Sus scrofa: one gene and its partners. The protein of the gene in region 3 interacts with the protein of the main gene of each other region in a biochemical or structural test. Links are inferred from orthologs where the notes say so. Each region holds a gene or a part of one and is shown on either strand. Other genes may lie near its edges. The genes, in order: KCNJ2, FRMPD4, DLG1, CTNND2, VANGL1, CRHR1 and MAPK12.

Region 1 (3,266 bases), on a different chromosome or scaffold from region 3:
GAGATAGATTTGGTTGTTTGAAAAGTTGAGAATTGCTTTTATTTTTCAGTTCTGTGCTATATTCAGTTTAAGAAATTTTTCTTTGATTCACAGAACACCCTAGACTTTCTCTTAGGCTTTTGTTAATCAAGGAAAAATTGTTTCTTTGGAGCAAAAATGGAAAGTCAGTCGATGGTTTTTACGGGGGGGGGGGGCAAGAGGAGAAAACTGAAAACTACTGTTTGTTCACATTTAGTGAAGGTGAGCACCTTCTCCATAGGAACACAGGGCAAGCAGTAGCCCTGGAAGTGAAAGTAAGCTGCCTGATCCTTATAATGTACTCCTACAAAGCTGTCTCTGTTTGGGAAAACACAGACTTGGACTTACATGAAATGAGTTCCAGCTTTATCTCAATCCGCTAAAGACCTGGTCCTTGGGTGCAAAGGTGCTTACTTCCTAGCCTGTCATTACACATGGCAATCCCATCTCCAGAGAATTTCAGGACTCTGCTTGCTAGGCAACAGACTCGCTCTGTATCCCCCATAGCAAACCTGCGTCTTGAAGTCAGAATCCCTTGCGCTAACAAAGATGTTATCAGGCGTTTCTGCACAGTGGCTGCTCTAAAGTGTGTGAAGTGATGGAGCAAGCCCAAACAGTCTCCAGAAAGTGGGATCCATTTCAGATGATTATAAGGGCTGTCTGCTCAGTTTTATCTTTTAAACAGAATAGTCTGTGCCTTCGCAGTTCAACCCTGTCATCAAAGGCTCCAGTATTCTCCCAGAATGCACCTGCTACTCAGTTAATAGTAACATTCTACATTCAAGGTGAAATGCTCTCTAGACATGTCCGAGTTCACAAAGCTTCATGACAAAGCCTTGGAGTAAGGGAGTCTTCCTTTTGCTTAGTCACTCGGGAGCAGAGCAAGTAGAGGAGGCAAAAGAAGAGAAAAAGAGGACAGAGGTGGATCTGTAAAAGAGAACATTCCAGATTTGTTGGGGGAAAAAAAGAAAAGAAGAAGAGGGGAAAGGGGGAACCTGTGATTTTGGTTGAAAGACTGTCACAGGTAACTAATTCTTCTGTGTTCGATGACTTCGTTAAAATAAGAAAATACTTGCGGGGGCGGGGGGGGGGGAGGGGATACAAAGAAAGGAGAAACCCAGTGAGTCAACCTGGAGTCTGTTTATCTACATCTGACCCCATGTCTTGCTAGGAAACGTTGCCTAGGGTGTAGAACCCTTTTATAATGACTCCTGTAATGAGGGATCTCTCTGTTTTTGCAGGACGTGTTCTCTGGATGTCAGCTGAGTTGCTAAGGTGACTCCGCATGTCAGGAGACAGACCCTGGTAGACAGAACCTCAAGGCTCCTGGAGACCCCCATCTCTCCTTATTTTTTTTTGTGTGTGTGTGTCCTCACCGAACATTCAAAACTGTTTCTCCAAAGGGTTTTGCAAAAACTCAGACTGTTTTCCAAAGCAGAAGCGCCGGCGTCCACAGCCGAAGCGATGGGCAGTGTGCGCACCAACCGCTACAGCATTGTCTCTTCAGAAGAAGACGGCATGAAGTTGGCCACCCTGGCGGTTGCCAACGGCTTTGGGAACGGGAAGAGTAAGGTCCACACCCGGCAGCAGTGCCGGAGCCGCTTCGTGAAGAAGGACGGCCACTGTAACGTGCAGTTCATCAACGTGGGCGAGAAGGGGCAGCGGTACCTGGCAGACATCTTCACCACGTGCGTGGACATTCGCTGGCGGTGGATGCTGGTTATCTTCTGCCTGGCCTTCGTCCTCTCGTGGCTATTTTTCGGCTGTGTGTTTTGGTTGATAGCTCTGCTCCATGGGGATCTGGATGCATCCAAGGAGAGCAAAGCTTGTGTGTCCGAGGTCAACAGCTTCACGGCCGCCTTCCTTTTCTCCATTGAGACCCAGACGACCATCGGCTACGGCTTCAGGTGTGTCACGGACGAATGCCCGATCGCTGTTTTCATGGTGGTCTTCCAGTCCATCGTGGGCTGCATCATCGACGCCTTCATCATCGGAGCAGTCATGGCCAAGATGGCCAAGCCCAAGAAGAGAAACGAGACCCTGGTCTTCAGTCACAACGCGGTGATCGCCATGAGAGATGGCAAGCTCTGCTTGATGTGGCGGGTGGGCAACCTTCGGAAAAGCCACCTGGTGGAGGCTCACGTGCGCGCGCAGCTCCTCAAATCCAGAATTACTTCTGAAGGGGAGTACATCCCCCTGGATCAAATAGATATCAACGTTGGGTTTGACAGTGGCATTGACCGTATATTTCTGGTGTCCCCAATCACGATCGTCCACGAAATAGATGAAGACAGTCCTTTATATGATCTGAGTAAGCAGGACATTGACAATGCAGACTTTGAAATTGTTGTGATCCTAGAAGGCATGGTCGAAGCCACCGCCATGACCACACAGTGCCGGAGCTCGTATCTGGCCAACGAAATCCTCTGGGGCCACCGCTATGAGCCTGTTCTCTTTGAAGAGAAGCATTACTACAAGGTGGACTATTCGAGGTTCCACAAGACTTACGAGGTACCCAACACTCCCCTTTGCAGTGCCAGGGACTTAGCAGAAAAGAAATACATCCTGTCCAACGCTAACTCATTTTGCTATGAAAATGAAGTGGCCCTCACAAGCAAAGAGGAAGACGACAGTGAAAACGGAGTCCCAGAAAGCACGAGTACGGACACCCCCCCGGACATAGACCTTCACAACCAGGCAAGCGTACCTCTAGAACCCAGGCCCTTGCGGCGAGAGTCAGAGATATGACTGGACCCGCCTCTGGAATAGTTACTCTAAAACACAGTCTGTTGGTCAAAGGCCCAAAACAGTGATTCAGACGACGGTACTGGTGAAGAGGTGGGTCGAGACAAGTGGCCGCGAGGGACTGAGGTTAGCACAGAGGGCTTCAAAGAAGGACTGTAAGCTCGAAGATTAACATAAAGCACTAAACATGCCTCCCCGTGACCCGATGATGGCACATACATGTTGTAGAATAAGTTAGGGTGGGGTGTTTATGTTGTGTTTTGTGTTTTTACAAAACTTGAACTTGCAGGCAAGCCTTGGTTGGTTGGGTGTTTGACTTATCCAGAATGCTTCTCTTTAGGGAACAAGAATGTTTTTAATGGCATAACATTTTTAAATGTTTTAAAGGCAAGACTCTGCCTTAACTTTTGAAAAGCTGCTAACTACATGAACACAAATTGTATTGTTGCAGTGTAGTTTTTTCTTTTGTGTAATTTAAAAGTCAGTGTTGAACTTGGTTGAAA
Region 2 (3,500 bases), on a different chromosome or scaffold from region 3:
CATTCTGCACAGAGTCAGGATACAATATGCATATAAAACAAACAGCCCCCACAGAGGATCTTGGGCAATATATTTAATGCGATACTTATCATGATAATAACATCTGACACTGAGTGCTTGCTCTTTGCCAGGTATTGTGGTGAGAACTTTATATACATAATTTTACTTAGAACTCATGACAATCCTATGGAAAGAGATCTTACTACTGAATTCCATTTTAAGAGAAGGAAATCAAGACTGAGAAACTGATTAGCTTTCCCAAGATGAAAGGGCTAGAAAATGGCAGAGTCCAAATTTAAATCAAGAAGTTTTGGACCCCAAACCCCACGTCCTTAACTACTAAACTATCCTGCCTCCATAGGGAATTAACGATAGTGTCCAAACCATAAGAACGCTGTGATGATTAAATGAGAGAATATATATGATATGTTTAGCACATTGTCTGACATAGAACACACATCCTATTAATATGTATTTTAGTACACAGAATATTTACCAAAAATTTCCACAGTAAACACCATTAATATTTCTCACTATCAAACATCAATATTTGTAATCAAATAATGTTTTATTATTTAAACATTATAATAACACACGTCTAAATTTCTTTTGTTTGCTACCACCTATAAATATGTGTGGCTTTTGTTACTGAATCTCTAAGGAACAACTGACGAGAGAGGGATAGCAATTGGGGACCATATTATGCCTATAAAAATGGAAATATCTGCACTGGACACACTCCTGTCACATTGGAAGAAGCCACCTACATAAATCGGAGTGTGTGTAGCTTGAACACTAAATGAGCCATGAAGCACATATGTACATATCAACTTTATTATACAGTTGCAGACTTTGCATCCTTTCGCTTTGACCCAAAGATACATTTTGAGAGAGACGATGGTTCTAAACACTTCTTTGTGCTCCATCAGGTTCACTTAACATGGTCAAATTTACCACTTTTTTTTTTTCTTCAGCTTTTGTGTTTCTATCAGCCACTCCAGATTAGAACACTTCACAAATACTTTATGATTTATTTAAGTATGGCTTCCATATCCGAGTAGCTCTCTCTCCCTGATTTTCTGGAACATTCCAGATTTTAAGTTTTGTCCCAGTGTCAGACTGTAATTGTCAATTTGGTTGGGAGCGTTGGCCCCTGTAGAGGTGATGCACGAAGCTCTATGCTGAGAGCTGTGATCGTCGATGTGACTCATAGCCTGGTGTGCGGTTGGCTTTACGTTACTGGACCTGCATTTACTTGCAAGGATCATTAACTGTTCCTTTTTGTACTTCTGCAAATACTTTACTAAATGTTCTGTCACTCTTCAGGGAATTCTACGTTTCATGGCTGAACTGAAGGGCAGGGAGATGGTGTCTTTGGTTTATATATTTTGACATTGAGTTAAAGCAGATCTCTCTTTTCATCAACCAATCTCATTTTGGTATTATTAATTCCTTTCATTTTATGCAATTAGATTGTCTACAACTAGATACTACCCAGGAACCTGCCCATCATTCCCTCTGTTCTTCCATTTGGGAAATATTTTTAATTCTAGAAACATCATGAACAGCATTTGTGTTGACACAATAGAATCCACTCCCACCCCATTTCTAGCCCAAATGGCATAAGCCAAAATTAAATATGTAGGATTCTTGGAAAAAAGCATCAGATAACCAAACACTATGAGCAAAAAATTAATTTATTATATATATTCTCTAATAATTCATAATAGCTTTTTGAATTTTAAATGTATTTTTGCTATTTCCAATGCTTAAAAATCATAATTTTAAAACATAAGTATTGTTTTATATACATTGTGATTTTTCTTTTCGTTTTTGTCTTTACTTCTAAATATGAATGATATGGTCTCCAAGTATCCGCTTGGAAGGAAAGGGGATAGGATTCATTGTTTTGCTCCAACACAGCAGAATTTAAAATCTCATATCATATACCTGGAGTTTTGACTATATGAAAAATAGCCAAAGGTCACCACTTTCTTGTATATTCCTTTTACATGTATATATATGTATAATATAAACAGAATACAACTGGATTAGTACATTTCAACTTTTCATCAATGCGACTTTCATCTCCTATTTCATATAAAATAACAAAATATACAGAGAGAAGAAAGGAGACATCTGTTCATCGTACACATAAAGTAAATAAAAGTTCATGTATGGCTTTGCAAAGGTAGATTATGACATGACTTTCATACTTTTATTTATTTAAAAGCATCTTGAGAGAACGTGTTAGTGTGCTTACGAGAGCGGCCATGGTGGTTGAATGTCGCATCGAGAGTCCAACACTGGGATCCCCAGCGGTCTTTCCAGTGGCTGCCTCAGCAGCTTTCAGGAGACAGATGTAGTTTATGACCACTTCATCAATCTTCGCTACAATTTCCTGCCGCTGCGTTTCTGAGTTCACGACTTTAACTAATCGCATGCAGGCTTCTGTTAGGCAACAGAGCACTTGAAAACTGGAAGTCATGGCTAGGAGCATCTCCTCTGGGCTTTTTTCAGCCATTGCCATTTTCCTACAGGCACTTCCCAACTGTCTGGACTCAATGGATAACAGTTGCTTGTACTGAGAAAGTGTTAGGTCATAGGCTTCAGGGCGTGACTCTTCTTTCTTCCCCTTGGTTGCCCTGACAAGGCAGAGCAGCTCATTGGCATCATTTTGGGCTGCGAGGAACCCATCGGGCATTGCATACATGCTCTCCTTTAGGGCATTTATTCTTGCAATCTGGGCATCAAAAGCCAGGTTGCTCAAGTCCACATCATCTGGGCCACTCAAGTCTTCTGCCCAGACCTTCAGCACTGAACCTCTGGACAGCTCCCCTCCTTGCTTCCGAATCCCAACAGCCAGGGGTGGGCTGCTTGGTTCTGGCATGGCTTGAGTCATCTGTGGTCGAAAGAGGCAAGAGACTTGGCGGGTGGCCTCTCCCTCCTCTTCATCCTCCTCACCATCTTCATCCTGCCCTCGGTTCAGGAAGCAGTAGCTGAAGGGTCCCCGGCATCTCCAATTGCTGCCTTCCAGCTTCCGCAAGGGCAATGTCCTATACAGCTTTGAGTCTTTGTGAGCCACCGGGGACCTTTTCTGAACCTTCCCCTCAGAGCTAAAGTGCATGGAGCTTTGGGAACAACTTTTGGTGAGCTTCTTCCCCAGGGGGAGTTCTGCTCGCCTTTCTGAACTGGCCTCCTGTGCTTCTCTGATACCTGGACAGTTTAAGCTGACTGCACCCTTGCTTCTCTCTCGGAAGGTCTCCAAACTTACAGATCCCGAGAGGATACTGCTGCTCCGTCTCAGAGCCCTCTGGCTGGGGGGTGTCCTGAGGCTCCCCCCTCTCAGATCCAGTGGCCGCCAGCTCACAGCCTCTCTGTAGGCCTGGTTTTCTTGGGAGAAATCATTAGGGTCTTGATTTGGAATTGGCACCTTTGATTCCGAGTGAATGTTTGATGGTAGCAGGGTGGGATCAGCTTCAGGATGTTGAGACCAAGCT
Region 3 (3,500 bases):
TGCACTTTATGTTGTGATACCAAATCCACTTTGTAGATTTTTCTTGAGGCAAACACCAGTGAATAAATACAACAGAACACTGTTGTAATAACTAACATAAGGTAGATGCTCAAATATCAAATAAATGAATGAGATAATTGTGCCTTAAGCATTGTTTCCCTCTTTTAGGAATTTTCTAATTTAGGAATTCACTTTATCTTGGAAATTAAACATTTTGAATAATAAATTTGAATGGTTTAAGTATTTGTGAGCAAATTTATAGAAATCATAGATTTCTTGTTGTATTTTCACAAACATTCACAAAATGCTTTCCATTTATTTTCTGGGTGGGAAACGTGTATAAACTTATTTAGGATACAGAAAATCATATATATCTGACTTTGTATCTCAGGCTACAAAGAGTAAAGATTATTCAAAGTTCAAGTAAATTAATTTATTTTCTTAATAAATGTAACATTGTTCTCTTACTGAAATTCAGTGTTCCATTTCAGAAGGTATCTTTAGCATACTTTATTGTTTCCTTAGGCCATAGATTATGGCACTTTTCCTCTTCCCTTTGTTGTTTTTTATTCGTGGTGAGTTTCCTAATGTTTTAGGACTAAGAATTTTATATGGTCTGTTAAAAACAGTATCTTATTTTAAGGCTATTAGTGCCTTAAGCAGCTCTTCAGTTTCTAGATGTTACTTCTCACTAGATAGGATAGGTGGTATTTTAGTGAAGTTAGTTAACATATAAAATTAATAATTTGGCTATTTATATAAATGTAAACGTTTACTTGGTGATTCTGTTATTGGGCTTTTATTTGTGCCTCTTCTGTAAAATTAATATGTTCCATTTGTTTTCGCTGGAGAACTTACCTATAGTACCAACTCTACAGTATCATTGTCTTTGAATGTAGAATTTCTTTCCACTAAAGGAAGTTAGACATTGAAGTTTATCATGATCAACTTAAATATTTTAATTATGTTTTGTTCCCCTTCCCTGCCCAATTTGAGATGACCATCTTTTTTGTTTTCTAGTGAAATACCACGTAGTTGAAACTGAGATCTGTTTATTTTTGGGTAAATCAGTGAATTTAATCCCGGTTTTGCCACTTACTATCTCAGTGACCTTAAGCTAGTTATTCAGTCTGAGCCTCAGTTTTCTTATCTTAGAATCACTGCTCTGTTGCTCATGATCTGGGCAGCCTTGGGAAGGTTATTTAAACTCTTTGTGCCTCGATTTCTTCATCTATACAATAGGAATATAAATAAGCATTTACCTTGGAGCTTGTTGTAAGAGTTAAAACATTAAAAGAAGTTCCTGGCACATGGTTAGCGCTAAATAAATGTTTATTATTTTTCTAAAGTATTGTAATTTCTATACATAATCATACTTAAAGCTGCGATTATTATTTAATATTTTTGCATAGTAATCTGTTATTTGCACTATTTCTTTTGCTGGACCTTAGGAAATGTTTGTTTATATGAGTTTTGATAAATTGGAATTTAACATGCAGTTTCTTCTAATAAATTATTCTAGTAAATAATTCTCTCTAAAAAATGAGAATGAATGGAGTGCCCATCGTGGCGCAGTAGAAACAAATCTGACTAGGAACCATGAGGTTGTGGGTTCGATCCCTGGCCTCACTCAGTGGGTTAAGGATCTGGCGTTGCTGTGAGCTGTGGTGTAGGTCACAGATGTGGCTCGGGTCCTGTGTTGCTATGGCTGTGGCGTAGGCTGGTGGCTACAGCTCCGATTGGACCCCTAGCCTGGGAACCTCCATATGCCACAGGTGCGGCCCTAAAAAGCAAAAAAAAAAAAGAAAGAAAGAAAGAAAATGACAAGAAAAAGTGGCAAAGTGAAAAATTGATACTTAACATTTTAATATTTAATTTTTAATTTTAACATCTTCTCCTTAGGGTCAATGACTGTATACTGCGAGTAAATGAGGTAGATGTTCGTGATGTAACACATAGCAAAGCAGTTGAAGCATTGAAAGAAGCGGGGTCTATTGTACGCTTGTATGTAAAAAGACGGAAACCAGTATCAGAAAAAATAATGGAAATAAAACTCATTAAAGGTCCTAAAGGTATGAAATAAATCAAACTAAGACAAATTATTAAGATATCTCTAAGTGAAGTGTAACTATGAATTTATTTATGACACACATTTTAAGATTAAAAATACTTATAATCTACAGAACTTGAGTGAATGTTTAGAATTTCCCTGTTATTTCTAATGATTTTTATCTTAAGTAGAGTTCTGGGTAAACACTACTTTTGAAGTCATATACAAGTCAAACACAATGAAGTCATATACAATATAAGTTAATGTTGATATTAACTTAAAATCATTCATCTGCAAAGTACACCCAATACAGATGCACAAGCTAAAGAAAGTATTTTAAGAGCGTGTCATTAATAGTTATATCTGCAGTGAGGTCTGTTAAGATACAGTTTCTAAATTTTGAAAATATGATGGGTTTGAGGATAAATGGAAATACTTGTTATAATTGTCCTTCATGGAAAAAGAATAGAGAGCTACATTATCTGGTATTGAAACTATGGGACTTATGAATTATTGACATTCCTTATTTATTTATTTATTTATTTTTATTAAAACAATAACACTTTTATTTAACTTGAGGTTAGGGAGGCTTTTAAATAGGTTAACATTCCTTATTTTAAATTAATTAATAGAATATTGAAAAACAGCAAAAACATCCACATTTCTGACGCTATTAGCTCTGCCCACCACCACCAATTTTTTCTTAATTGTTTTAATCTGTAGTAGAAGTATTAAAAGTGTTAGTAAGAAGCACAAATATCATGGGAACAAAAATGAAAAATTTTTACAATATCTCTTTGAACTAACAAATGCATTTTTAAGGAGACTTTAAGAGGTAACCTGAGGCAGGAAAAGAAACTTATTTTTAACTTAAAACACAAACAGTAGTTTTCAGTCATTTCTTTCTGGACTTCAGTTTACATTTTTTGGTAAAATCCTAAAACTGGTTTTTTCCAAACAGGTCTTGGGTTCAGCATTGCTGGCGGTGTTGGAAATCAGCATATTCCTGGGGATAATAGCATCTATGTAACCAAAATAATTGAAGGAGGTGCAGCACATAAAGATGGTAAACTTCAGATTGGAGATAAACTTTTAGCAGTAAGTATTAGAAATCCACTGTTTTAAAAATCATTTTGATGTCTTTTTCTTTTGACGGATTCTAGAATTTCCACATGCTAGAAAATGTTTGTGATAATTTAAATGAGTGAATACCAGCCTTGCTTTAATGAAAACCTGAAAAATTACTCTTTAATATCTTTATTTGCCATTTCCATTTCATCTCCAGCTCCCCCCTCCTTTTATTCCTTTTTTTTCCTTCTCTTTTTTTATTTTTTTTAAAGCCTATATATATATATATATATATGTATATATATATATATTTTTTTTTTTTGGTCTTTTTTTTGGTGTTTCTTGGGCCGCTCCCACGGCATATGGAGGTTCCCAGGCTAGG
Region 4 (4,008 bases), on a different chromosome or scaffold from region 3:
TTTAGCCTGGGAAGGGGGAAGAGGAGGAGGAAGAGATGGTGGCAGAGGTGCGCAAGTTGGAAGAAAGCATAGGGGGCGCTGGAGGAGGGGAACCTATTTACGACCCATTTCAGTTCCAGACTAGACAATGGTCTTTCTTGCAGTAAGTTGACACACATTCCAGACTCAAAACCAGAGGGATTTCGTTTAAGGAGTCTCTCCACTCGCGAAAAGCATGTTTAATCTAAGCCCTGGAAGTGACAGTAAGATTGGACAGACGTTGTAGGGAAGACCTGAGATGGATGTCTTGCCCTCTTTGCTCTAGAACCACAGGATTTGAGCGGCTCCATCTTCACCCAGCAGCGGGCACCTTCAGCCTGGCTTCTACCCCAGCACACACAGAAACTGTCTTAAAAGCCCCTCATCCCTGCCCTTTGTTTGCAGGCTGACTTCTGCCCCGACCACAATTAACCGTCAGCATCTTGCACGTAAATGAAGTAACCCGTCCTTTGAGAACCGGTCCATACCGGGGTTCCAGGCCTTCCCCCGGTCCTTTCTAGTTTTCGCCTGGTTCGCGAACATCCACCCATCTGAGGGCTGGGGTGTGTGTTCCCAAGGATGCTCGGCCCTCTCGCAACCCGGGGCCTCCTCCCCTCTCTCCTGCTGCTGCCTCTGCTGCCGCGAAAACCAGGAGAAGTGGAATGCGCACGGCGAAGCGCCGCGCTCGCGCGGCGGCACTGGGCATGCTCGGCACCCAGGGCAGGTTTGGGCGGCGGGGCGGACGCTGCCTCACTAGCCCGGCGCCCGAGCCGGCCGCCGAGGCATAGGTGGAGGCTGAGGCTGCCGCGCGCCGCGGGAGGAGCCTCGCCCTCGGCGGCGGCGGCGGCGGCGGCGGCGGCGGCGGCGGCGGCGGCGGCGGCGGCGGCGGCGGCGGCGGCGGCGGCGGCGGCGGCGGCGGCGGCGGCGGCGGCGGCACAGGTGGCGCGGGCCGCGCGCGGGGCGCAGCACGGGAGCGCTCGGCGCCGGGCGCCGCGGCGGCCCCAGGCTCGCGCCCGCGGCGGCAGCCGGCCGAGCGGAGCGGCGGGCGCGGCTGTGGCGGCGGCTCTCTCAGCCCGGCCGGCGGCGGCGGCGGCGGCGCCCGGATCCCGGAGGAGCCCGCGGAAGCCCGCAGGAGCCCTGAGCCCGCGGAGCCCGCGGAGCCGGGCAGGGGGCGCTGCGCTCGCTGCGCTCGGAGGGGCCGCCGGGCCGGGCTCAGCGCACTCGCGTCGGGAGCCGCCTCTCCCCCGCGGCGCTCGCCCCTGCTCCCCGCCAGCATCACTTGTCCCGCGGCCGCGCTCAGACAACAAAAGCGGAAGATGCTGCAGTTGGGCAAGGTCAGGACCTTGCCCTGAAGCCGGGCGGCGGCGCGCACGCCTTTCCCCGGACTGAGGAGCTGTCGTTGGCGGCGGGTGCATGTTCGCGAGGAGACAATCGGGCGCCGCGCCGTTCGGTGAGTTGCCTTGGCCGGGCTGCTGGGGCCGGGCGCATCCCGCTTGGCGTCGTCCTCCTCCTCCTCGCCCTCCTCCTCCTCGCCCTCCTCCTCCTTCTAGCCGCCGGTGGGGGTTGGTCCTCGGCTCTCCCCGCCGGCTGGCGGCGGCGGCTCCAGCGCGGTCCTGCCAGCCGGGGGAGGACCGCGATCGCGCTAGGTCCCCTCTCGGAAAACGGCTCTGCCTGGAATGGGGGCCAGGGTTAGTGCTTTTCTCAGAGCGGTTACCAAGTGGCTTCTCCGCGTGCTCCCCCTCCCCGCCACCCATCTCCCCCGGAGGAGGCGTATGTAGGGCAACACCAACAATACCGCTCCCCGCCACCCTCCAGAACAGACCCGTTGCATTCATGACGTCCCTAATATACGGGAGAAGACGGGTGGGGGTGGGGAGGACTTCCCTCCAGTCTTTTGCCCTTATGTTCAATGTCATTACGATGTTTGGCTAGAACAAAATGGAAATACTTAGTCATTTGCGTCCATGGCTGTTTCTTCGGTCTCCCGCTGCTTGCCAGACCCAGAGCCCTTTGGTCTATATTTAGCTGTTTCAGAGGAAGCATTTTCAGCTCGATTCACAGGTTTCGGGGGCTTCTGCGTCCTGACAATAGATAGAGAGGCTCCGGAAAGCGCCGCCTGAAACCCAGGTTTGGAACGCTGTGCGTGTGGGTGGGATGTTGCGATGCGATATTTGGGTGATCGGTAATTAATGGCCGAAAGCAAAGCTGCTTTTCTTTTTCGCCGACCTTCTCTCATTCTGGTATGTAATGTGTTTCCATCGATTGCTGCTCGGCTGGTTCCAGCCACTACATTCAGAATTAAGTCACTGGAGAGGTGGTGCAGCCTTCCTGGTCTGTGTGGTAGGAAAACAATCTGGGAGGTTTTGGGGTGTGCGTGTGTTTCCCACAACGAGCAGTTACTTCTAAAATGCCTAAAGTTGCGCTTCACTGCAAATTTGGGGGATAGTGAAGAGTGGGAAGAGAGAAAAAGAGGGGCAGGTTGTGGTTTCCAAGGTGTTATTTTCCCCTTGCGTGCTTCAGTTGAACTGATCTGATTTGCTTGGGCTCTGAAAGGTGTTTTTCACATGCATGCTTAATGTTACCAAGCAAATATGTTGCTTTAGAAAATGAATAGTTATAGACATCTTTCAGGACTGATATGGATGTATATATTTTCACTTTTAGAAACTATGTGACTGATATTTAGGATGCTTGGACTTTTCTGCAACGATTTCCATGAAAATAAGGAGGTGCTGCAACTACCTGAGAGTTATCTCATTGTGCATCCTTCCATCAGCAGCTTTAAACTACCACCAGCTGCTGATGATAATTCAGTTTGTCTCTTTGCTGGTAGTAAATCACATACAGGATTAGAAGCCTTTAGAGCTGCACCACTTTTAAAATCCGGTGGGAAAGTATTTGATATGACTCATATTGAACTACAGGACTGAACCTGTGCATGACTTTGGGGGGCTTGCTGTATGGGAAGTATGACAGAGAGGGGCAGGCATTCTCAAATAGGGACTTGATGCTAGAATTTAAACCACCGTGAAATCTCTTTGCCACACACACAGAATCCATTTTTAATGTTTGGGGGGAAATGTTAAGTGGCACCCTTTCTGGTCTGTGGGTTACAGGATCTCAGGACTTGAATGAAGATGATTGCATTTGGGGCGAGATGTTGAAATTTGGGAGGCCTGTGATTATACAGCTAAAGAGTCTCAGTGTCTTGGAAAGACTACTATCGCCCATACGGCTGGAGTTAACTGAAGAGTGTGGTTAGTTTTACCAATATTGCTTGAGTTTCACCTTTTTCACATTCAGAGAACTTTCCAAGAGCACTTTGAACACACTCTTGTGCTTGTTGTGTTGTTTTAATATTAGATTTTTTGCAAAAAAAGAAGCAGTAGGTGAAGTAGATATTCATGTCTTTTGACTTTTCCTTTTGAATCTAGTGTTTCCGTTTTAAACATGATTCTTAAAGGACTAGTGGAGATTTCTCAGTGCCTATGTGTGCATACAGAGCAGCTGATGGGGGAGGAAAAACTACTTGTATGAGTTTTTTTTTTCTAATAAACTTTTAATTGGGAAATTTTTTATCCTCTGTGCTTTTAAAAAAGTTCTATTTAAGTATAGTTGATTTGCAATGTTGTGATAATTTCTGCTGTATGACAGTGATTCAGTTACACTATACACAGATCCTTTTTTTTTTCAGATTCTTTGTTGTATGAATTTTATGTTACATTGTGGGTTAAAGATGATAATACTTGATTGAATGGCAATTGTAGTGAGTACGGAAGGTTGTTGCTCTATTAAAATTGTCATAGTCTTGTGGGAAGGAGTTATTTAATTTGGTGTATGTTTGTGTCATTGTATAATCTAATCATTATAGATGTCACTGATGTTTTCCTTGTTTGTAATAAAAGTCATGCACTGCCAAATTACAGTATTTCTATCAACTTCCCATCTTCCACAGTTAGCCCACAAGCCAATTCTTTCTCCCACTGAAAT
Region 5 (3,500 bases), on a different chromosome or scaffold from region 3:
TGAAAGAGTGACACCACTTAGCAGGACAATTTGGCAGGATCTGTGCCTTTGATCCAGCTGTTCCTCTACCAGAAATGCATCCTTCTGAAATAATTGCCTACATACACAAAAACACATGTAAAAAAGGGATTTACTGCAACTCTGTTTAGGCCAGGGGTTGGCAAACTTTTCTCTAAACGTAAATATTTTTGGCTTTGCAAGGCACGCACTGTCACAACGACTCAAGTCTGTCCTGGTAGAGAGACAGCAGCTGTCGACAATCTGTAAATAAAGGGTGTGGCTGTGTTCCAGGAAAGCTCGATTAGCAAAAAGAGCCAAGCCCTCATTCAGACTAAAGAACGATCTTACTCCAGAAGTGCATCAGTAGGCAGTCTGTTAAACAAACCCCGGTATTCAGTGGGCTAGGATGCAGCTATTGGAGAGAAAGAGTTAGAGCTGTGTGAAGGCCTGACATGGACAGACAGCCAAGAGCAGCTTTAAGTGAAAAAACCTAGTATCCATACTTTATCTATATAGTTTGAGATCCCATTTCTGTTTTTTGGTTTTTGTTTTTTTCCTATTTCTGTTTTGAAAACACACACCCACCCGGAAAGAATATACACCCAGTCTTTATATCAGTAAGAACTGTCTGGATTAGGGGAATCAAAACTTCACTTTGTACCTTATACTTTTCTTTCTTGCTTTTTTTTTTTTTTTTTTTTTTTGGCTTTTTTTGCTTTTGAGGGCCACACCCGTGGCATATGGAAGTTCCCAGGCTAGGGGTCAAATTGGAGCTACAGCTGCAGGCCTACATCACAGCCACAGCAATGCGGGATCCGAGCCACATCTGCAACCTACACCACAGCTCACTGCAACGTCGGATCCTTAACCCACTGAGCAAGGCCAGGGATCAAACCTGCATCCTCATGGATACTAGTCAGGTTCGTTAACTGCTGAGCCACGAAGGGAACTCCCATTATACTTTTCTTTAATGTTAACATTTTCATGCAAATATTATTTTTTATTCAGAAAAGTATACTCTTTTTCAGTGAAAAAGAAAGCCCTCAGGAAACCTTTTTAAAAACCTTGAAAAAAAGGAAAATAACCACTTCCATTCTGTGTGGCACGAGCTATCACTCTGTACACCCAGACTTACTGGGCTCACTTGCAACCACAGCGTTCACACTTATTTGTATTCTGCATTTTGTAACTTATTATTATAGCAACAAAGAGTCTTCTGTGTTTTAATAAGTGATGTACCAGAATTTATAAGCTACTGTTCTATTTTTAAGTTATTTCCAGTTTTGAGTGAATACAGACTATTTTGCAAAAACTCACCTGCATGTATATTCATATATATGAGCTGACTGTGCTGAATACTTTTTCCAGGAGAGGGGCTAGTAAGTCAAGGAGTGTGAAAACCCATGTTGTTTTCCTAAGTGTCATTACTGGTTAGCGACAATGTCATCAGCAGTTGTGTACATTCAGGGCAGTGTCTGAACACAGGTCCTTATACCAACAGTAACACTACCAAGTGCACATGTGTACGAAATGTCAAGGTCATTTACGCTCTACCATGTGACTGACCTGTCATGCTGCCATTTTTACTATAATTCCCACACAACAATCCTATCAAGTAGATACTATCATTATCCTCATTTTATAAAAGAGGAAACAAGTGTAAACTTAAGGCTAAGTCACAAAGCAATTCGGTGGTGGAGCCTGGAGGTGAACCCACTTCTATCTGAAGAGCGGTCATTTGCTGAACCCTTACTCTGTGCTGCCTCCTTGGCCACATCCGTCTAGTAGATGCATTGCTGTTTGCCACATCCCCCGCGGTGTGCTCACGTCATAATCCAAAAGACCATTTAGTAAAACTAAACCCACAACAGCCCCAAAACGCCCAAGTGATGGCCTTGTTTCTACCGCTGATAATCAAAGCTATTTCTTTGGTCCTTCCACTAGGACAGATGCAGTTTTAAGCCCTGCACAAGAACGGGCTTAAAACTGTGTGCCTCTTAGTTATCACAACAACCCAATGAAGTAGATACTAGTATTATCCCCAATTTACAGGTTAGGAAACCGAGGCACAGAGCCATTAAGCTCCTGGCCCAAGGTTTCCCACTGGCAGAAAGGAACAGAAAGCCAGGTTAGAATGAGTCAACCAGAAACGAGAAACCAGCGTACCCCGAGCTGCCACCTGGACCATCTCTAAGTGAAAGTCTTTCCTCTGCTTGAATCCAGAGGCCTCCAAAGGCAACTTAAAAAAGCAACTGTGCCAAAACCGCACAAAATAAGTGAGAATCCCTCATTCTTATTCATTGGCGCTTGAGAGAAGCCTCTGATGTTCGCACTCCTGACCACCCCTGAAGTGGGACTCCCCGAGCTCGGTGACCAGCCGCACCTTGGGGGTCATGCTGTTGGTGATGCAGAAGGCCAGGTGCTGCAGGATGCTCTCCATGCTGTGGTAGTGCTGCTGCCGGGTGGTGCGCAGGTACTTCTGCAGAGCCCGGGCCATGGAGGGGAAGATGGCCTGCGCGGCCTCCCTGGGGTCCATCACCTCCCCTGGGGCTTTCTGCTGCTCCTCGGCCTGGAGACGCTGGATGTGGATGAAGGCCTCCTCCACCGCGACCACCAGCCTGGAGGGGCCGAAACAAGGGCATCGGGACCGTGGGGCGGGGCTCGAGGACAGAGGCAGACAGAACCGGGATGACGTCTGCCCGCCTGCTGTGCCCCAGTCCGCCACCAGCGCACCCACGGCTCCCCGTCCTCAGCTGCCACTCCAGATGGCGGGGGTTGTGGGGGGGGGCTGGCAGGAACGGAGAGGAGGGCAAAGGCAAATGCACTGCAGGGGATGGGGGCTTCAGGGGAGGAAGAAGGAGCCCTAGAACGAGGAGGGGACCGCTCTCAATTCTGCCACTAATTTGGGAGACTCACTTCGTCCTTTTCATCTGTACAATGAAGGGTTAGAGGAAAAGAGTTTTAGGGTCCCTCAAACTCTGGCTGCATAAGGCTCTGCGTGCACTGAGGGGTGGCCGCTGGTGCGGAAGCAGCCTGACAAAGACCTGGAGCTGTATCTCCCCCAGCCGGCCGCCCACACCAGCAGCCCTTGGGAAGGAGGAAGGCAGGGGCCCAGCACACAGGATGAAAACCGTCTTTGTCCACTTTGGCTAATGTGCTCAGATCCTGGAAACCAGCAAGAGCCTGGGGATATAGGACGGGCTCGCTCAGAGTGTGGGCCCAGGGCCAGCAGCTTCATCATCAGTGGGGAATTTCTAAGAAATGCAAATTCTTGGGTGGGCCCCACTCTAGACCCACTGAAAAATAAGTAACCTCTGTGGGTGGGGCCGGAACCTGACCTGAAATCTGTGTTTTAACAAGCCCTCCGGGTGATGCTTTTGCAGGCTAACCTTTGGGAACCACTGGAGCAAGATTCCCTCTGAAGGCCCAAGCAGTTGGGCTCATCAAGTGAAATTTCATTTGATGGTTTAGAAAGAAGTCTTGGAGGGGATGCTGGTGTG
Region 6 (3,500 bases), on a different chromosome or scaffold from region 3:
GGCCAGGGCCATAGCCAGGGCGGGAGGGGGCGGGCAGCTGTACCTGGAAGGATTCCAGGAAGGAGTTGAAGTAGATGAAGACGACCCGGGAGACCTCGTCTTCCCCGGGGTTCACGAAGAACAGCATGTACGTGATGCCCAGGAGGGGGAGCAGCACCAGGGTGGCCTTGACAGCCTTCCTGAGATGGGGGGAGGTGGGGAGGCTGAGTCACAGCCCACCCCCAGAGGGGGCTGGGGCCTCGGCCTGGTGAAGAGGACCGGGTCCGGGGGAGGGCTGCAGCAGACCCCCACCCCCGTCTGAGACAGGGAGCTGGGGTTTCAGGAAGGACTCTCAGATCTGGTGGCAGGGACCCTGGGTCAGAGGTGGGGTCTCTGAAGCCCCCTCGGTGGGAAAGGCAGCACTGCTTACCTGTACTGAATGGTCTCAGAAGTGGTGGATGCCCGGAGTTTGGTCATGAGGATGCGGACGATGTTGAAAAGGAAGATAAAGTTGATCTGTAATTTGAGCACGCAGTGCGGTGGCATGGGCATGGATGTGTGCAGGACAGTGGCGGGGTGGGTGGGGACAGGTCAGGGACTCAGCTATCTCAGGTCTGGCCTCTGTCCCCCTGCTGCTCCCCACTGCCTTCGTGAGCCCATGCACATTTCTGGCCCCACAACCTTCACCTCTGGGAGAGGGATCCTTTCTGTCCACAGAAAGCACCGCTTGCCCGTCCCCACTGAGCCCCTCTCTCCTGCCCCCCTACCCAGGCTCTTACCAGCAGGACCAATATCATGGGGCCCTGGTAGATGTAGTCAGTGTATACCCCAGGCCTTTTGCCAAACCAGCACCTAGAAAGCCACAGAGGGAGGAGGAGGAGGGTCATCTGGGTCCATTTGAGTGTCACGTGGGAGGAGCAGTGCTGGGCCAGGGCAGGACTGGAGCCAAAAGCCAGGATCTGGGTGCCCCAATTCCAACCCTGGTAGAACTGGTCAAGATCCCACCACGTTGCCTCAGTCATTCCATCTGCAGAATGGACAGCATCCTTAGAGATGTAAAGGCAGAAGCAGGCCCAGTGGCCCAAGGGGAACTGTGGAAAAAACCCACTGAATAGAATAGGCATGGGCTCGACACACACAGCTCCCCTTGGCCCACAGTGGCTCTGGCGCATGCCCACAAGTGGTACCTTCCCCTCCACCTGTCATGCAGTGACAGCTCTAGCTAACAATCCCTGAATGTCTTTAATTGCAGCCTGAACAACCTGGAGGCAGAGATTCTACAGGTTTCACCTGTCGGGAGAAGCAGACTTGCCTTGTGTTTTCTTGAGTTTCCTTCCAGCGAGATCTAAAGAGGTCTGGGGAGTGGGTTGGGATGGGGCACATAGGAAGTCCTATGGCCTTGAGCAGAGACTGTGGAGCAGAGACTGTTGAGCAGCTAGGACGCAAATCTGCAGTACCTAGATCTCATGATGCTTCCATAAACAAGAAACTGAAAATTTTATGTGAAACCTATTGACTTTTTCAAGGTTGGCAATAAATTCAAGTTTTCCAAAAAAACTGTGCTGACCAAACACAGGCTGTCCTGGGGCCAGGTCCAGTCCTTGGCCCTCAGACCTGCAGGTTCCTTCTCAGGACTCACACCTGGATCCCTTCTGCTGCAGTGTCACCATTTCACCACAAGGTGGCACTCCAGAGGCGATCAGACTGACTTTCCTCAGAGCTCTGGTGGTATCTTTCCAGACAAACACTGGGCAGGTGTTTGGGTTTGTTTTTTGTTTTTTTGCTTTTTTTGTTTTTGGTCTTTTTAGGGCTGCACTCACAACATATAGAGGTTCCCAGGCTACGGGTCCAATCAGAGCTACAGCTGCCAGCCTATGCCACAGCCACAGCCACAGCAACGCCAGATCCAAGCCACGTCTGCGACCTACACCTCAGCTCACCGTAAGGCCGGATCCTTAACACACTAAACAAGTCCAAGGATTGAACCCACATCCTCAGGGATACTAGTCATGTTTTCTATTGCTGAGCCAAAATGGGAACTCCTGGGCAGCTTTTTTTTTTTTTTTTTTTTTTTTTTTGGTCTTTTCTAGGCTGCACCTGCGGCATATGGAGGTTCCCAGGCTAGGGGTCTAATCGGAGCTGTAGACACAGGCCTACGCCGGAGCCACAGCAACGCAGGATCTGAGCCGCGTCCGTGACCTACACCACAGCTCATGGCAATGCCGGATTCTTAACCCACTGAACGAGGTCAGGGATCGAACCCGCAACCTCATGGCTCCTAGTCAGGCTCGTTAACCACTGAGCCATGACGGGAACTCCCTGGGCAGTTTTTCGAAACGTGTTCCTCCCCTCTGCCTCTGCCTCTGTACTCACATGCACACCTACAAGCACAGTCTCCCTCGACTGGGATTTACAATCCTGGGTGCTCTGGGATCCAGGCCACAGTCCTGTCAGCTCCTTCCTGAGAACACTCTGGCAAAGAATGTGCTGGCACCTCCTCCACCAACTTTTTCTGCCTCTGCTTCTTAATCTTGGCTTTGCATTAGAATCACCTGGGCAGGTTTAAAATATCCTGGTGCCCAGGTCATACTCTAGACCAATGACATCCATCTCCCCGGAGGTCAAGCCTGGGCATTGGTATTTTTAAAGCTTCCTGAATGATTCTAACATGAACCAAAGCTGAGAACTACCTCATCCGTTTTCAGGGGTGATTGGAAACATCTGCTTCCATTTAAAAGGTCTGTCTGGACTTTAGAGCTAGAAGGAGTCTCTGAGATTGTCCAGATTCATTTCTGTTAAATCCACGGAATCTTCTGTTAAACATTATCAGAAAACATTTTTATGGCATTTACTATGTGCCAGACTCTATTCTAAGTTTTTTTGATGTTTGTTTGGCTTTTTAGGGCCCCACTCTCGGCATATGGAAGTTCCCAGGCTAGGCGTCGAATTGCAGCTACAGCTGCCAGCCTACACCACAGCTCAAATCAACACCAGATCCTTAACCCACTGAGCGAGGCCAGGGATTGAACCCATGTCCTCAGGGATACTAGTCAGTTTCGTTTCTACTGAGCCACGATGGGAACTCCCTATTCTGTCTTGATATTAACTTATGTCATCCCCATAACAACCCTTTGAAGGAGGCACTACTACAAGGATGCCCATTTTACAGATGAGGAAACTGAGGCACACTGTAGTAAGCAGCCCAAGGTAATAAAGCTACTGAACAGTGGAGCCATGATTCGGAAACTGGGTGGTCTGGCTCCAAAGATTGCCAGTAGCCTTTAGGCTGTTCTGCTTGTTGTGAGACAGATAAAGAGAGCCTGGACCTGCCTGTCCAGCCCCACCTCAGGCAGAGCACTGCTAGGGAGCCTCAGATTGAGTCTGACTCCCAGCACCCTCCTATATGGATGAGGAAACTGGGGCCCTGACAGGGAAGGTGACATGGCTGACGCCCCCTGGGGAGTGTCAGGCAGAGCTGGGCTGGGGGCCTCCTTGGGAGTCAGGGGTCCCCCAGAGCAGTG
Region 7 (4,065 bases), on a different chromosome or scaffold from region 3:
GCCCCAGGCGGCACTCACAAGTCTGTAAAATCATCCAGGGTCTCATCAGGCGTGAACACGTCCAGCAGTCCAATCACCTGGGGAGGAGGCCAGAGCACCAGGTTGGCCGGGGACACGGGGGCTCAGACACAGCCTGCTCTGGGCAGGAAAGCCTCCTGCAACTGGCCTGGTCTCCCCCCACCATTCAGGGCCTGGCTCTTGCCCACCAGCAGCTCAACCCAGCCCTGGCACACACGCCCATGGACAAAGGCTATTTTGGGATGGTGACAGCCAGGATCCTCCAGGGGAGGGGCGGCCCCAAGTCTGGGTCAGCTCCCAGGCCATCCAAGGAGCGCCAGCCCCATGGCCCTTCCTCCCCCTCTTGCTGTCCCCACTGAAGACCCAGGACCACTGTGGGGACAGCCTCTCAGGGGAGAGTTCCTTCGAGAGGCTGCGCCTCTGCCAGAGGCCCAGGCAGGCAACACTGTGGCCACATCGACAGCCCTCTGACCAGGGGTGATGGACAGCAGACAGGTAATGTGACAACTGCTACCTGGGGTTCCAGTGACAAGGCCTCCAGGGACCCTGGGAGGCTGAGAATCAGAGTGGCTGGAGGAGCAGGTGGATGTGCTGGCAGGGGGACACCTGGCAGAGGCCAGGCAAATGATGGCCGGGGCAGGAGGGAAATTGCTTGGTGCGTTTGAGGAACACGGGAGAGAGGCCAGGTGGCCAAGGACCAGGCCAAGGAGTAGCCAAGGAGAAGCCGAAGGGAACCCGAGCAGGCCCTCGAACACCAGGGAAGGTTTGCTTTGATCCTAAGAGCCACTGAGGACGGTGAGATGCTGAATGTGTCCCCTGGCTGCTATATGGGGACAAACCAGAGTGAGGTGAAGGTGGATGGGGGTGGAGGGACAGCTAGATGACCAAAGCGGACACCAGAGCCAGAGATGTGGGCGGGGTGGAGGGGACAGAGTGGCACATCCAGAGGGGCCTGGAGGCAGGTGAGCCGAGGGCCCTGGGAGGAGGCTTTGGCAGGAATGGCGGGGGGGGGCAGGTGGTATCCATCAGGTTGATGGAGATCTCTAGGCCTCTGCGGTGCAGACGGGGCCTGGGGCGGGGCGGGGCGGGGCGGGGGGGGGGGGAGGACGGAGGAGCTCACGCGGGTGTGCCACTCGGCCTCACCGAGCCTAGCTCCTCCTAGGAACTGGGTTTAGGAAGCTCTTGGAACAGCCCTGCAGGTTGCAGCGCTCCGCGCTGTGGGTCAGGGGCTCCCCTGGGAGAAGGACCCACTGGTACAGATCGGGGCGGGAGGTAACTGGACAGAAGGCCTGGAGACGGCACTGGAGCAGCAGGTGGTGGGGAGAAGCCGGGTGAGGACTCTGGGAGAGGACAAGCCTGAGTGTGACCAGATGTGACCCAGAGGCAGTAAAGGCCCGGCTGGGCTGGTGAATGGGTGCCACCCGGGAAGGGTCAAGGGTAGAGGAGTCTGAGAGAAAGAAGGACCCTCTCTGCGAGGGGCTGAGAGGTGGGCGTTGGTCAGGAGCCAAGGGGTGAGTTTCCTGGTGGACACGGAGGCTCATTCTCGTGGTTCTGATGAGCCAGGAGGTGCCAGACCACCACGATCAGTCGGGGTCTGGGCGCCCAGATCACCAGCCCTCAGACTGGGCAGGGGTGGCTTGTGTGGGAGGGGACAGAGCTCAAGGCCACAGGCAAACAGCAGGAGCACCCCCAGCAGAGGGAAGGGCTCTTAGCAGCCAGCAGCGTTCCCAGGAGAGGCTTGAGGCAGTTCCGGACGCAACAGACTTTTCCCTGCCGGAGGCTGGGTCCAGCCCCTACCCCAAGGGCTGTGAAATGCACGCCGCTGGACGTGAGGAAGGCGTGTGCCCCGTGTCCTTCGCACACCAGCTCCCCAAGGCCCACACAGGCCCCCTCGGGGCTCCCAGGGCTGGGGCTCAGGAGGTAGAGGGAGCACAGCGGGTTCAGGAAGGGGTGCCCAGAAGAGACACGGTGCCCCTTCCAGAGACTCGCCCCCCACCTGAGGTCGCCTCTCGCCTCGGGGATCCTGCTTGGAGGCGGGACCTGGAGTGAGCCCCCGGGCAAGAGGACGTCGTCCCCTGACCGGGGCCTGGGCCGGGCGGACGAGCCGGATGTGGCCTCGGGAAGGAGCCAAAGACCAGACCGGAGTCCTCTCCAGGGCCTCGCCGCCGCCGAGGGGCTGCGGGCCAGGCGGGCGCGGGCGCGGGGGCGGGGGGGGGGGGCGGGGAGCCGAGGCGACCGCGCGACTCACGTTGTCGTGGCGCATGTGCTTGAGCAGGCGCAGCTCGCGGTAGGCGCGCTTGGCGAACAGCTCGGACTGGAAGGGCCGGTACAGCTTCTTGATGGCCACCTTGGCCCCGGTGCGGGTGTCCACCGCCGAGCTGCGGGACGCACCGCTTAGCGGGAGGGCCGGCCTCGCCGCCCGGCCCCCGCCCGGCCTGCGCTCACCACACGGCGCCGTAGGCGCCCGAGCCCACGGGCTGCAGGTCCTGGTACACGACGCGCACCTCCCAGGCCGTCTTGGTCACCTCCTGGCGGTAAAAGCCCTTGCGGGCGGCCGCCGGGGCGCTCATGGCTGGCCGGGCACCGCCCCGCCGCAGACCCCGCGCCCCGAGGACCCGGGGCCCGGGTTCCGCGGGGCACCCTGGCGCGCGCCCCTGGCCGCGGCGCGGGGCAGAGCCGGCGCCGCGCCGCGCCGCCCGTCGCCGCCGGGGCTCCCCCGCTCCCGGCTCTTGCCTCCGAGCTCTCCGGAGCCGCCGACCCCGGCCCGGGCACAGCGCGGCCCCTCCCCGGCCGGCGCACCAACCGGCCCCGGGGCCGCGCGCACGTGACGCCGCGCCCGCCCTCCGGCCCCTCCGGAAACCTGAGGCGGCCGCCCGCCCGCCCGCCCGCCCCGCCGGAGGCCGGAGCCGGAGCCGGGGGAGGGGACGGAGGGGACGGGGAGCGGCGCCCGCCGCCCCGGCTCGGCCCAGCCCCCGGCGCCCGCCCCTGCCCTTGCGATGAAGCCCGCAGACCTCCAGAGAGGAGGCATCTTAACAGGGGCCGCGTCTCCCGCCTGCAAGCACCGCCCCGGGGCGCTGGCCCACGGCGGGCGGCCCGCCGGAGCTGGGCAACCTCCAGCCCAGCCCATCCCCGATCACTGTCCACCCCCCAGCGCGCCGCCTGGTCGGCCCCAGCTCCGCCGTCCCCAGCACCTGCCTTCCCCCTTCCCCCTTTCCCTAGGAAAAAGTCGGTTCCATCTCCCAAGTCACACAGTTGCAAGTCCCTCTGCCTGTCCTGCCCCTGCCCAGCCTAGGCCCTCTGGTTTGTTCAAAGGCCAGCGGGAGCCTCCTCTCTCTCTCCAGGAAGGTGTGCCTGACCCCAGGGGTGAAGGGGCCTCTCAGTGCCCCGCCCCAGGTGGGGGCTTCATCATTTCATGGGTTTGGCCCCTCCTTGACCCGCTGCTCCTGGAGGACAGAGCCCCCAGTCCTTTCCTTGTCCTGCCCTAGCCCAGTGACCCAGGCGGGAGAGAGAGTGGGGTAAGAAGATCCCCAGGGCCCCCTGCCCCGCCCTCTGTGCCCTGCACCATGAATCAGCAGCTGAGCAGCTCAGGCCTGGCCAGAGCAGCTTTACACCTGGGCTGCCGAGGGCATCTGGGCGCTCTGGAGTGGCCGGCTGGTCAGTGGGAGCAGCCTGGGGTCACTGGAGCCACCACCGCCTCTCCCCAGGTGCTTCATGCCCTGGGCTGCCTGTGGCACTCTGCCTGCCTCCTCCAGGAAGCCCCCAGCAGTCCAGAGGTTTCTGCGTCAGACCAGACTCCCCGGTGAGGCATGTCCCAGTTCTGCTCCTGTTCGCCCCCGGCCCCCCGCCCAGGACTGGACCCAGCCTGGTCTCCAGGGGTTTTCCAGGACCAGAAGCCCAGTACCCGCACCACCCAGGCCTCTGGAGGCCCACCTCCCCAGTGGTCTGCACCCCAAGGCCTAGGCAGAGACATAGGCTGTCCCTGTCCTGCGGATACCCTGCCTGATTCCCCCTGGGGGTGTGCCTGTGGGCTGAAGCAGCCCGCCATCT

The links.
Region 1: the proteins of DLG1 (region 3) and KCNJ2 form a complex in vitro, tested with the Homo sapiens proteins (2 studies listed by BioGRID and IntAct, with this or other methods). The link is inferred for Sus scrofa from reciprocal best matches to the Homo sapiens genes DLG1 and KCNJ2.
Region 2: the proteins of DLG1 (region 3) and FRMPD4 interact in a test that uses a peptide from one of them, tested with the Homo sapiens proteins (2 studies listed by IntAct, with this or other methods). The link is inferred for Sus scrofa from reciprocal best matches to the Homo sapiens genes DLG1 and FRMPD4.
Region 4: the proteins of DLG1 (region 3) and CTNND2 interact in a test that uses a peptide from one of them, tested with the Homo sapiens proteins (2 studies listed by IntAct, with this or other methods). The link is inferred for Sus scrofa from reciprocal best matches to the Homo sapiens genes DLG1 and CTNND2.
Region 5: the proteins of DLG1 (region 3) and VANGL1 interact in a test that uses a peptide from one of them, tested with the Homo sapiens proteins (2 studies listed by IntAct, with this or other methods). The link is inferred for Sus scrofa from reciprocal best matches to the Homo sapiens genes DLG1 and VANGL1.
Region 6: the proteins of DLG1 (region 3) and CRHR1 form a complex in vitro, tested with the Homo sapiens proteins (3 studies listed by BioGRID and IntAct, with this or other methods). The link is inferred for Sus scrofa from reciprocal best matches to the Homo sapiens genes DLG1 and CRHR1.
Region 7: the proteins of DLG1 (region 3) and MAPK12 interact in a test that uses a peptide from one of them, tested with the Homo sapiens proteins (2 studies listed by IntAct, with this or other methods). The link is inferred for Sus scrofa from reciprocal best matches to the Homo sapiens genes DLG1 and MAPK12.

Annotation. Positions count from the first base shown.
Region 1 is NC_010454.4:10,355,032-10,358,297, reverse strand, and holds KCNJ2 (inward rectifier potassium channel 2), read left to right. Parts: upstream 1-1,482; coding exon 1,483-2,766; downstream 2,767-3,266.
Region 2 is NC_010461.5:9,436,539-9,440,038, reverse strand, and holds part of FRMPD4 (FERM and PDZ domain-containing protein 4), read right to left. Parts: coding exon 2,219-3,500; 3' UTR 1-2,218. UniProt on the Homo sapiens protein: Positive regulator of dendritic spine morphogenesis and density. Required for the maintenance of excitatory synaptic transmission. Binds phosphatidylinositol 4,5-bisphosphate.
Region 3 is NC_010455.5:132,969,931-132,973,430, forward strand, and holds part of DLG1 (disks large homolog 1), read left to right. Parts: intron 1-1,902; coding exon 1,903-2,072; intron 2,073-3,011; coding exon 3,012-3,148; intron 3,149-3,500. UniProt on the Homo sapiens protein: Essential multidomain scaffolding protein required for normal development. Recruits channels, receptors and signaling molecules to discrete plasma membrane domains in polarized cells.
Region 4 is NC_010458.4:1,518,974-1,522,981, reverse strand, and holds the start of CTNND2 (catenin delta-2), read left to right. Parts: upstream 1-1,208; 5' UTR 1,209-1,431; coding exon 1,432-1,468; intron 1,469-1,479; exon of another isoform or gene 1,480-1,706; intron 1,707-1,737; exon of another isoform or gene 1,738-2,258; intron 2,259-4,008. UniProt on the Homo sapiens protein: Has a critical role in neuronal development, particularly in the formation and/or maintenance of dendritic spines and synapses. Involved in the regulation of Wnt signaling.
Region 5 is NC_010446.5:105,000,354-105,003,853, forward strand, and holds part of VANGL1 (vang-like protein 1), read right to left. Parts: intron 2,619-3,500; coding exon 2,384-2,618; intron 1-2,383.
Region 6 is NC_010454.4:17,254,309-17,257,808, forward strand, and holds part of CRHR1 (corticotropin-releasing factor receptor 1), read right to left. Parts: intron 832-3,500; coding exon 759-831; intron 496-758; coding exon 410-495; intron 180-409; coding exon 44-179; intron 1-43.
Region 7 is NC_010447.5:428,370-432,434, reverse strand, and holds the start of MAPK12 (mitogen-activated protein kinase 12), read right to left. Parts: upstream 2,801-4,065; 5' UTR 2,589-2,800; coding exon 2,464-2,588; intron 2,397-2,463; coding exon 2,267-2,396; intron 78-2,266; coding exon 19-77; intron 1-18. UniProt on the Homo sapiens protein: Serine/threonine kinase which acts as an essential component of the MAP kinase signal transduction pathway.